Linked DNA regions of Caenorhabditis elegans. The protein of the gene in region 1 purifies or fractionates together with the protein of each later gene. This does not show direct contact. Each region holds a gene or a part of one and is shown in the gene's direction. Other genes may lie near its edges.

The links. Proteins that work in one complex are often made in the same cells at the same time.
Region 2: the proteins of csq-1 (region 1) and F52C12.2 fractionate together in Caenorhabditis elegans (co-fractionation; one large-scale study listed by BioGRID). This does not show direct contact.

What each region holds. Positions count from the first base shown.
Region 1 is NC_003284.9:14,683,291-14,688,871, forward strand, and holds csq-1 (Calsequestrin), read left to right. Parts: upstream 1-1,586; 5' UTR 1,587-1,587; coding exon 1,588-1,722; intron 1,723-2,670; coding exon 2,671-2,790; intron 2,791-2,836; coding exon 2,837-2,921; intron 2,922-3,552; coding exon 3,553-3,656; intron 3,657-3,709; coding exon 3,710-3,821; intron 3,822-3,870; coding exon 3,871-3,944; intron 3,945-4,116; coding exon 4,117-4,296; intron 4,297-4,343; coding exon 4,344-4,583; intron 4,584-4,630; coding exon 4,631-4,757; intron 4,758-4,801; coding exon 4,802-4,878; 3' UTR 4,879-5,032; downstream 5,033-5,581.
Region 2 is NC_003282.8:1,951,714-1,957,247, forward strand, and holds F52C12.2 (18S rRNA aminocarboxypropyltransferase), read left to right. Parts: upstream 1-1,865; 5' UTR 1,866-1,882; coding exon 1,883-2,298; intron 2,299-3,535; coding exon 3,536-3,903; intron 3,904-4,799; coding exon 4,800-4,801; 3' UTR 4,802-4,996; downstream 4,997-5,534. Other genes in the region: tsen-54 (tRNA-splicing endonuclease subunit Sen54 N-terminal domain-containing protein), read left to right, coding at 674-762, 832-968, 1,023-1,157, 1,253-1,388; F52C12.6 (non-specific serine/threonine protein kinase), read left to right, coding at 5,012-5,175.

The sequences.
Region 1 (5,581 bases):
CAGATTCTCAACGATACCACATAAAACGTTTGCTTTACCAGATTCTTCCTTGCCACGTCAATTCACTAATTCCACAAACGAAATGCAAATCCCATAATACTACCCCGATCGCTGATTTACTGATCAATCCTTGAAAAATCAAGTTTTTGTGTGGTGTGTTGGCTTGAGTGATCGCAGACGCAAATAAATTCGGATAAATGTGCCCCCCTACCAAGCGGGTAGAGGGTGATATGTTTGCCGATTTATTGAGCAAGATGAGGAGTAGGGCGAATGGCAGTATTAGTTAGCGGTACCGATTGATTTCATTTCGCAAATTTCTACGTCGAAGATGAAAAATTATTTCGAGCAGTGACGTCAGTCGGTTGGTTATGATGAAGACTGCCGTTTGGTTTTTGAAAGCCGAATGCTATAGATATTCTTTGCCAGATGTGTGGGCAGATGAGGAACACTTTTTTTTTGCGAAAAGTTGATTTAAAAACAAATGTTTCGGTGCAAAAAAATGTTGGCACCGAAATATGAGCTGTTACTTGGAAATCATGTTACCTTTGTTCTGTTCTGTTAATTCCCTCTAATTTGAAGATATCCTTCAGTATAACAATTTTTCCGTGTTCGAATTATAATTGAAACATATTTTTAAAACAATTTTATTCCGAAATTTAGAGACACTTCGAAACTAAATATTTAATCCAGAACTCAGTTAATTAATTTACAGTAGCTGAACCCCGAAAAGTTGTAACTCAAACACTTATGTTTCTTTACTATTGTTACACTATTTTCGATCCTCAATAACATTTTAAAGTGGTAATTCCTAAGCCTAAATATGAGAATAAAGTGTTTTTGGTGGTAAACTTTTGATGGATTCTATGTAACGCCCTAAACGGATTTACTGTGGTTCGACGCGAGTCTCAGTGAATGTCGGCTGCGCGATTTTATTAAGTGTATTTAAATTTTCAAAGTAGACAGTGTGAGGAATGATATCATGTTTCATGTGTTTTTCTCCTATGCAAACATCTACTTGAATGCTTGTACGGTTATTTTCAAGTTGCCAGCTATGAAAAAAGTTGGAAAGTTGCATGTTCCCCTCACGTTATTGATTTATTAGAGATATGAACTCTTCCAATTGCCCCCACAAACACTGTTGCCTCACCTCCAATCTCGCCCACACTCCTTCAGCTTCTTCATCTTCTTTCACGTAGTTTTTGTTTTCATCTCGACAAATATATAGTGTAAAGTCAATCAGTCACCGGAGGAAAAGGCGCCTCAGGAGCTTCCTGCTGTGCTCGTTTCGCTACCTCGGTATCAAGCTTATTCTCAGCTCCCCCCTTTACAACGAAAGCTGGCGGGGCCCCGCGGATGGCAGTGGAATTGTGTAAGAATAGCGATCAAAGAGAAGAACATCAGTGCCAATGCAGCAGCCGCCAACAGCTAGCGCGGACCTTTTCCACACACTATACCCTTTGACTTTTCTATCCTTGTTTCGTGTCACTTTTTTGTCTTCTTTTTTTGAAAAGATCTCCATGCACATCCTTCCTTCCTTTTATCTCTCGCTTTTTTCTACAGCAAAAAATAAGTTGCGTTGTCTTTAGAATGACTTGGATCAAACTTGCTAGCCTTGCGCTAGTGGTTGTGCTTGCAAGTGCAGGCATCTCCAAAAACGAAGACTTGGAATGCATGTTCTTAGGATATCCAGATCTCGAATACGACGGATTCGACAGAACTGAGGTGAGTTATTTGGATATAGGATTTATAATGTCTATTTTGTCCATTCTGCAAATCTTTTCTGAAAATCTGCAAAACTACCGATTTTGTTTTTTTTTTTACAAATCAAAAATGAATGTACATAGAAATAAATGAGAATTTTGTCAATTTTGTCAATTTTAGTTGGCAAGAGTTGGCGAGAATTGCCAGTGAACTTTCAGGCTTTTTTTCTTTTTCCTTCTTAGGCTTTTTTTCCGTTCAAATTTGCCAATAAAAATATTATTTTAGAGTCAATCAACTTTTTAGAATCCAAAATTACCAAAATACCAAAACTGAACAAGTTTCTAGATTTTTCAACAATTTATCCACTAACTAGAAGGTATAGTTAATAGTTATTTGGTTAGAAGCGATTTTTTTAAAAAATTTTTTTGAAACATTATTCATTAGTATTATCGAAAAAATACGATCGCACACATTTCTCATAATTTACTTTTGATCTACCTGTTGTCTCCGCCCCCAATCTTGTCGCCGTTGTTATTTTGTTGTGGCTGTCTTGTCGAAGGAAGGGGAGGAGCCTCGTCAACAAGGTAGATCAAAAATAAATTATGAGAAAATTGTGCGATCGTATTTTTCGATAATATTTGAGTTTAAAATTATCAATAATTAAATAAAAACAACTTCTAAGCAGACTATAGATTCCTATAGTTAGTTCCTATAGTTCAAAACTAAAAAATTTTGAGAACAATTGTTCTCGACTATCTTGATCATCATTTTTCATTTAATTCTTTAACTTAAATTACTCAATAACAAGACATTAATTTAACTTCACAATGTCAGTAAACAATTGCGTCATTCTAGCAAAACTTGACCTATAACAAAATTTTCGACATCCGGGGTTTTCGAACCAACCTATCATATTACACTGCAACAGATATTCATCTTCACTCAACAAAAAAAAATCAATAATTGCAGGTTCTGACCGAGAAGAACTTCAACAGAACTGTTTTCGCTGAAGACACCAAATCGGTAGTGTTCTTCAACGACGTGGAAGAGGACGACTCAGAGCTTGACCAGTATGAGTGCTTCCTTCAGGTGAAATTCAAAATTTGATAGTTTATTTTTAATTTATGAATTTTAGTTGTCTGCTCAAATTATGACCAAGAGAGGATACAACTTTTACACTGTCAACACCACCAAAGAACATCGCTTGAGGAAGCAGGAAGGTAAACATTTGCTGTTCCACAAAAACTTAAAAAATATTCCATATTTTTGTGTCATGTTTTCAAAAAATTCAATATTTGTATTACATGGTTATAATTATTGAAACGTACGTATTGCTAAAAATTAATTGTTCTATGCCAAAAGTAAAAATAGAAATATGATGTTTTACCTCATATTTTTCCATTTCTTGAAAGTTGGTACATATCTTTTTTGGCAAGATTGTACATTTCTTTTTCGTAAGTTGGTGCATATCTCATTTATATGTACCCACATTGTAATGCTACGAAATTTTGAAATGTCCGTTTAAAGTCATGAATTGATTTTTTAAAGTGGGTCTCGTCACGATCTCATTCATAGTGGCTGCTACAGGTGTCAAATTTTACTTTTTTTGTTAATTTGATTTATAAAATATTTTTATAAAAGTTCAGAATTTGAAATTCACGGAAAATTTAACATTTAGCACGTAGTGTGACGTTTCCGAGAATGGACCATAATCGAATATTATTTTTACCAATTAATCATTTTATGTTGTCGAAGCTTCACAAAACTTGTGGAAACTTAATTTAAATAAAAAAACATTTAAGAATTGGTTAACCTTCTAATTCTTCATTAATTCTTGATTCAAAATTTCAGAAGTTGAAAAGGGAGAGGACACTATTCACGTGTACAAGGATGGTTACAAGATCGAGTACAATGGTGTTCGTGATCCAGAAACTTTTGTTTCATGGCTGATGGATGTACGTTATTTATTAAGTTTTTGCTAATTCCATAAATTATTTTTCAATTTAAGATCCCAGACGATCCAGTGACTATTATCAATGATGAACATGACTTGGAAGAGTTTGAAAATATGGATGACGAATGTGTCAGAATTATTGGATACTTTGAGCCAGGATCAGTTGGTACGGAATGTGAACAAGCTGTCATGCATAAATTTTAAAAGAATTTCAGCTCTCAAGGAGTTCGAGGAAGCCGCTGAAGACTTTATGGGAGAGATCGAATTCTTCGCAGTTGTGACATCTAAAGTAAGTGTTGAGAGCATTTTTTTTCAAAAATGTATTATGAAAAAGTATAATAGATGTTGATTTTTCATTTTTGAATTATTATATGTACCCCAATTTTCACGCTTAAATATCAAATATGGTACTTGAAAAAAAATAACTTAAAATCGATATTCTTTAATAAATGTATTTTTAGTGGGCACGCAAAGTCGGACTAAAGAGAGTCGGAGAGGTCCAAATGCGCAGACCATTTGAGGAAGATCCACTTTTCGCCCCAACTTCCGCTGATACCGAGGAAGAATTCGAAGACTGGGTTGAGAAGAACAAGGAGCCAGTTATGCAAAAACTCACCCTTGACAATTACTTCAACCTTTGGGTATGTAAAGTTTATATCCTTGCTAGAAAAAAATAATCGTGCTCCAGAGAGATCCCGAAGAGGAGGAGAGAATGATCTTGGCATTCGTTGACGAGGAAACCCGTGAGGGAAGAGCCATGAAGAGGCTCCTTGACAAGATCGCCGATGAGAACTCCGAGCACGCTGGAACCCTGGAAATCATTCTTGTCGACCCTGATGAGTTCCCACTTATGGTTGATGTGTGGGAGGATATGTTCGGAATCGATATTGAGGAAGGACCTCAAATCGGACTTATTGATATTTCTGAGGTAGCAGACTCTATTTTATTTGTCAATTAATAGAATGTATATTTCAGAAAGAAGGAATCTGGTTCGATATGTCTCAAGTGAATTTGGATGATCCAAAGAAACACTCCGACTCCAACTTCGAGGCTCTCCAATCATGGATCGATCAGATTCTTTCCGGATCTATTTCTCTTGATGGTGAATAACTTTTTCAACTAAAAATCTATAAAAAATAATTTCAGATGATGATGATGATGAGCCAGAGCCACCAGCACCACCACCAACTCCAAAGGGAAAGAAGTCTAGAAAGGAGCTGTAAAAAAATCACGTTTTTGATCTACCTATTCTTATTTTTCACGTATTGTTATCACACCTTAAACACTTCTTTTCATGACATTTTAATGGTTGCCGCTTGGTAGTTTCTTCTAGTTAGACACAATGTTTTCGTTCAAAATAAACTTTTTTGGAATTTCAATACGGCATTGTTTTATGCTACAAGTGACCCTAATATATAATAAAGAACAAATGAAATAATTAAATGTTTGTTGTAAAAAGCGTTCAACTCTGCAGTGATTTAGGATGTTTTGCCTCGGATGCCAAGGATCTATATATTTTTGGTTTTAGCATCGTATTTAGTAAAATTTTTTATTGTTTTGTAATATGCCCACACATATATATATATATGTATATATATGAATTTCCGGAAATTTTATCTTGTAGGTCACATGTCTAGTTGCTCATTGCAAAACGTTTTTTCCTGTCCAAGCTCATAATTTTCAAAACTCCATCGTCCAAAATTCTCCACTACTTTTTTCAATATTGTTCCACAAAAACCAGTCAGATGATTGACAGTCCTCATTTTCATTGAGTTTTTGTTCTGACCTTAGACATACATACATACACACATTGCACTCAGAAAATAGCAAAAATGCCCGTTTTAAATGCAATGAGAACCAGAAACAGTGAGGGTGAGTGTCAGCAAACTACGTTGCGAAGCAAAGGCAATACGATAATTACCATTG
Region 2 (5,534 bases), on another chromosome or scaffold:
TAATACTACCCCGTAAATTTACAGTAATACCCCGTAAATTTACAGTAATCCCCCGTAAATCTACACAAAACTCCGTAAATCTACAGTAATCCCTCGTAAATCTACACAATGAGCCTCCGTAAATCTACATTAACCCCCGTAAAACTACAAAATGCTTCCGTAAATCTTCACAATCATCCCCCGTAAATCTACAATAAGCTCCCGTAAATCTACAGTAATACCCCGTAAATTTACAGTAATACCCCGTAAATTTACAGTAATCCCCCGTAAATCTACACAAAAATCCGTAAATCTACAGTAATCCCTCGTAAATCTACACAATGAGCCTCCGTAAATCTACATTAACCCCCGTAAAACTAAAAAATGCTTCCGTAAATCTTCACAATCATCCCCCGTAAATCTACAATAAGCTCCCGTAAATCTACAGTAATACCCCGTAAATTTACAGTAATACCCCGTAAATTTACAGTAATCCCCCGTAAATCTACACAAAACTCCGTAAATCTACAGTAATCCCTCGTAAATCTACACAATGAGCCTCCGTAAATCTACATTAACCCCCGTAAAACTACAAAATGCTTCCGTAAATCTTCACAATCATCCCCCGTAAATCTACAATAAGCTCCCGTAATTCTACAATAATCCCCCGTAAATCCACACAATTCTCTTACAGTACTCCACACATCGCCGGCGCTCGTCAACTTTCTTCCCTTGGAAATGCTCGAATCCATCCAAACTTCCACGATTTTACAGAATCTAAAAGTTAGTACGACACTCCGAAATCCCGCCGAAATTTTGGTGGCGCCAAATCAAAAAATTCAAAAATTTCAGCCGCCCACACCCAATCGACCGCCGTGCCGACCGCCGTCTTACTGGCCATTTGTAGATCACCATGTGACAAATTGGCAGGAATTCCGATTTCAGGCCGAGCAGGCCCGACAGGAGACGGTTTTGAGGAGGCTTAAAAAGTAGATTCTAGGAAATTTCTAAAAAAAATGCTCCAATTTTCCTGTAATTTTCAGATTACGCCCACCGTCGCACGCCGAGCTCCGCCGAGAGCGGATTACTGTAGAAAATGTGGATTTTCACGTGTTTTCGCCAGCCTCTTTCTCCCATCGGCTACCAGCTCGGCCGTTGTTCTCACTAATTTGTTATAGGTGAGCATTTTCGAATTTTTAACCAAAAAATTTGAAATTCCCGGCCTTTTTTTAACCCGGGAAAGGAGAAATTTTCAAATTTTCCGCTTTTTCAGCGCCACCGGACCACCGCTGAAAATTTCGGAGCTCGCCGAGCTCGAAAACGTGGTCTTCGCGATGGAAGAGGCCGGAAAAGTGAATTTCGTTGCGATGAGTGGAGCGTCGATTGATCTCAATAATTATTTGTGTTGATTTATCGATTTTTTCGCTATTTTTATCGTATTTGTTGCTCTATTTTTCCCCCGAAGTTGTTCAATTTTCAATATTCTTGTTCAAACTTCCGCCCAAAAAACTTGCCGGTTAAACTGGGCGCGGGTACGTTATTTCGTTATTTCGGAGTGTTGTTGTTTTGAATTTTATCGGAAATCGTTGTGAAATAGGGGTTTTTAGTGGTTTTAATGAATTTTTTTTTGAAAAATTGGTTTTTTAAACTAAATTTTGATTTAAATTTAGGTATTTCACCAGGAAATATCGATTCTCAAAAGAAAATCTCCGAAACTCGGTGGTCCGCTAAACAACACGCGCCATCGGGATTTCGGAGCTTCGTTGTTTCTATTTTATTTATATTCAGTTTTTACCATTTTTTTTCTTGATTTTTCTATATTTGAAGGTGTTTTTTTGTGTAAATAATCGAAAAGATGGTAACAATTAAAAATATGTTTCTTCCAGATTGTCGGAATTTTGCAATGGGAAAAGGAAAACATCGAGTTGTGAAGCCACGAAGAGCGGATAAACCGCCGAAAGAGCGAAATGTGGAGGAAGAAGTTGAGACAGAAGAGGAAGAAGAGGATATCGAAGATGAATCCACATCGGAGCCGGGCTCAGAAGACTCTGACGACGAGCCGGAAGAAGACTACAAATTCCCATTTCGTCTGGCGATGTACGATTTTAATCAGTGCGATCCGAAGCGATGCTCCGGGAGAAAGCTTCTTCGTGCGAATTTGATCACAGAAGTGAAGCTCGGGCAACGATTTCCCGGATTAGTGCTCAGTCCAACCGGAACGTACACATTGGCTCCGCGAGACCGTCCATTTGTCGAACAGAATGGGCTCTGCGTTGTGGATTGCTCATGGAAGGAAGTCGAGAGAACTCCGTTGCATAGGTGCGGGAAAACGCATTAAATCGAGGAAAATCTGGAAAATTTTAGAATTCTGGAAATCTGTTATAAAAAAAAATTTTCGACGAAACATTTTTAAAAAATCCATTTTCAAATATTTTCAGTGGAAAGTCGCTTCAAAATCAGCATTTTTGAGGATTTTTCTCAATTTCTCAGTGAAAAATTTCAAATTTTAAATAAAAACCTGAGAAATTCAGAATTTCTAAATTTAAATGTTAGAATCCCCCGTAAATCCACACAAAAACCGTGCGTAAATCCACATGATGTTCTCGTAAATTCACACAAGTCTCCTCCCGTAAATCTACATGAAATTTTATTGCTTGCTTTAAGCTCTGAAAAATCTCAATTTTTTTCAAAAATAAAAACCACAAAAAAAATTGCCTGAAAAATCTAAAATTTTAAAATTTTAATTCCTTGTGGCAAATGTGCTCTACTGATAATCTAGGTGTTAATAATGTTATTTTTACTAAAAATAACATGATTAACATCTATGACTATCAGTAGTTCACATTTAGTCACGCGTAGGGGGAACCTCTGCCCAAAATTTCATTACTCCACCTCAACAACTTAGGAAACTTAATAATGTATTATTAAAGCCATTATCTTCTCATACAAAAAGGATTTATTGTAAAATATTATCCTTTATTAAACATTCTCGATTTTATTTTCAAAAAACTGCAACAAAAAAAAATGGCTAAAAAGTTAGAAATTTCAAGTTTCGGGTCTCGCCACGAAATTGTCTGGGTTACTGTAGTTTTCATGGTGGGGCCCACGATTTTTTATCAAATATGATGAAAAATTGGTAATGGCTATACTCAAATAGAACATTTGAATAAAACTCAAAAATTTTGAAAAAAAAACTAAATTTAATAAAGTTATGGGGTGATTCAAGTAGTGTAGCAAAATGTATTTAAATACATGTTTTTATATACTTGAATACAGTTGTGACGTAATTTATCAACACTTTTTAATTTTCCGACATTACTTGAATAACCCCATAACTTTATTAAATTTTTCTGAAAAAAATCGAAAATTCGCAAAACATGAAATTTTCTGTGGCAAATGTGATCTATCGATAATCTAGATGTTAATTATGTTATTTTTTTTACCAAAAATACCATTATTAACACCTGCGACTATCAGTAGTTCACATTTAGTCACGCGTAGGGGGAACCTCTGCCCAAATTTTCATTTTCCCCTAAAAAACTTGCAATTTTTCCAGAGTAAAAGCCCCGGAGCACCGTCTTCTTCCATATTTGGTGGCAGCCAATTCAGTCAACTACGGAAAACCATGTCATCTAACATGTGCCGAGGCGATGGCCGCCGGTCTCTACATTTTAGGCTTCCAGGAGGCCGCAAGCCGCCTCATGAAGCCCTTCTCCTGGGGAGATCACTTTATTGAGCTCAACAAAGAGCTTTTAGATCTCTACGCGGCTTGTGATACACCGGAAGACGTGATTCGAGCACAAAATGAGTATTTGGAGAGAATCGATAAGGAACGGGAGCAACATTCCCGGGATATTGATCTACCGCCGAGTGGTAGTGATGAAGAATATGAGGATGAGGAAGAAGTGGAAGAATTGAAGAAATGTGAGGATTTTCGACTGGAAATTCTGAAAAAGCGAAGAAATTTGACATAAAACTGAAGAATATTGCAAAAATTTCAAATTTTTGATCATCGAAAATTTTAAATATTTGCAAATTTACTAAAAATCACTAGAGATTTTGGTTTTTTTTCACAATTTTACTGAAAACTGAAAAATTCTAATTTTCGTTCATAATTCGTACGAAATTATTTAATTTTTCGGAAAAAAAAATTGAAAATTAACTGAAAATCACAGTTTTCATAAAAATTCTTTGAAAACCTTTAAAAAAAAAATTTTTTTTTTTGAGAAAATCGATAAAAATTTGAATTTTTGAGAAGTTTTTCTATATTTCAATTTCAATTTTCCAAGAAAAAATATTAAAAAATTGAATTTTCTGAAAAAAAAATTTGAAAAAAATAATTAAATGTTTTCTTCAGTTTTCTGGGGAAAAAATATAAGAAATTTATTTTTCTAAAAAAACATTTTTTTATTTCTATAAAAATGCGTATTTTTCGGGGAAAAGACGATAAAATTTTAAATTTTCCAAAAAAAAAAGTTGAAAAAAAATTTGAAAATTCGAATTTTAGGAAAAATGACAAAAAAATTGGAATTTTCTGTGATAAACGAATAAAAATTAAAGTTTTAAGGAAAAATTTATTTTTAAAAATTTAACTTTTCTTTTTAGAAAAGTCACATATTAGACCGAAAAAATTGAATTTCTCGCTCAAAAAATCGAGAAAAACGCATTTTTATATCAAAATACCCTAAAATTTATAAAAAATTCCACAAAAAATAATATTCCCGCTCCAAAAATCGAGAAAAAAAAAATTTTTTTAGTGCAAAAAATCCCTAAAATTAATTTTTAAATAATAATTCCTTCAAAAAATTCAAAATTTTCAGAAAATCTCCCCATTCACTGCCGCCGAGCTTCATCAATTTCTGCACATTGTCATTTTTCGTTGGATTTTTTTTTGATAATTTTTTTCCTTAATTTTTCGTTTTTGTTATTGTTTGTTATTCATGTTTCTTACTTGATTTCCGGTTTTTTCTCTCATTTCCCCGCCAAAAAAAAATTGGAAAATTTAATAAAAATTTCAGGTAAAAAATTCAAAATGACAGCGGCGACGACAAGCTCCGACTCGGAAGGCGAAATGGATTTTGAGACGACAATTGAGACGGGATTCGGGTATCAAATCGATGGATTACTGTATCAGGGAGCCGAGGCGAAAGTTACAAAGTGTATTTGGTTGGGAAGGCAGGCTATTATCAAAGAAAGGTTCGAAAATTCGACGAAAATCGGCTAAAAATTAGCAAAATTCGGTTAAAATCTCACTTTTTCACACAAAAATTCAAATTTCCCTCTGTCCGTACGCTGCATGTGCGCTCCACTGAGAAAACTCAAAAATTCAAATGTCAAAAAAAAAGTTCGGAAAAAGTTGACAAAACACTCGAAAATATCTAGAAAAATATGAAAAATCGTGCATTTTCACTCGCAAATTCAAATTTCCTGTCTACCGCAAGATGCAAATGCGCTCCATTGAATCAATTGTGACTCTTACACTTTTAATTCAAATTTTCGTAAAAATTTGGCACAAATCCCACAAAAAAAAACTTGAAATTTGTGAAAAATAGGTT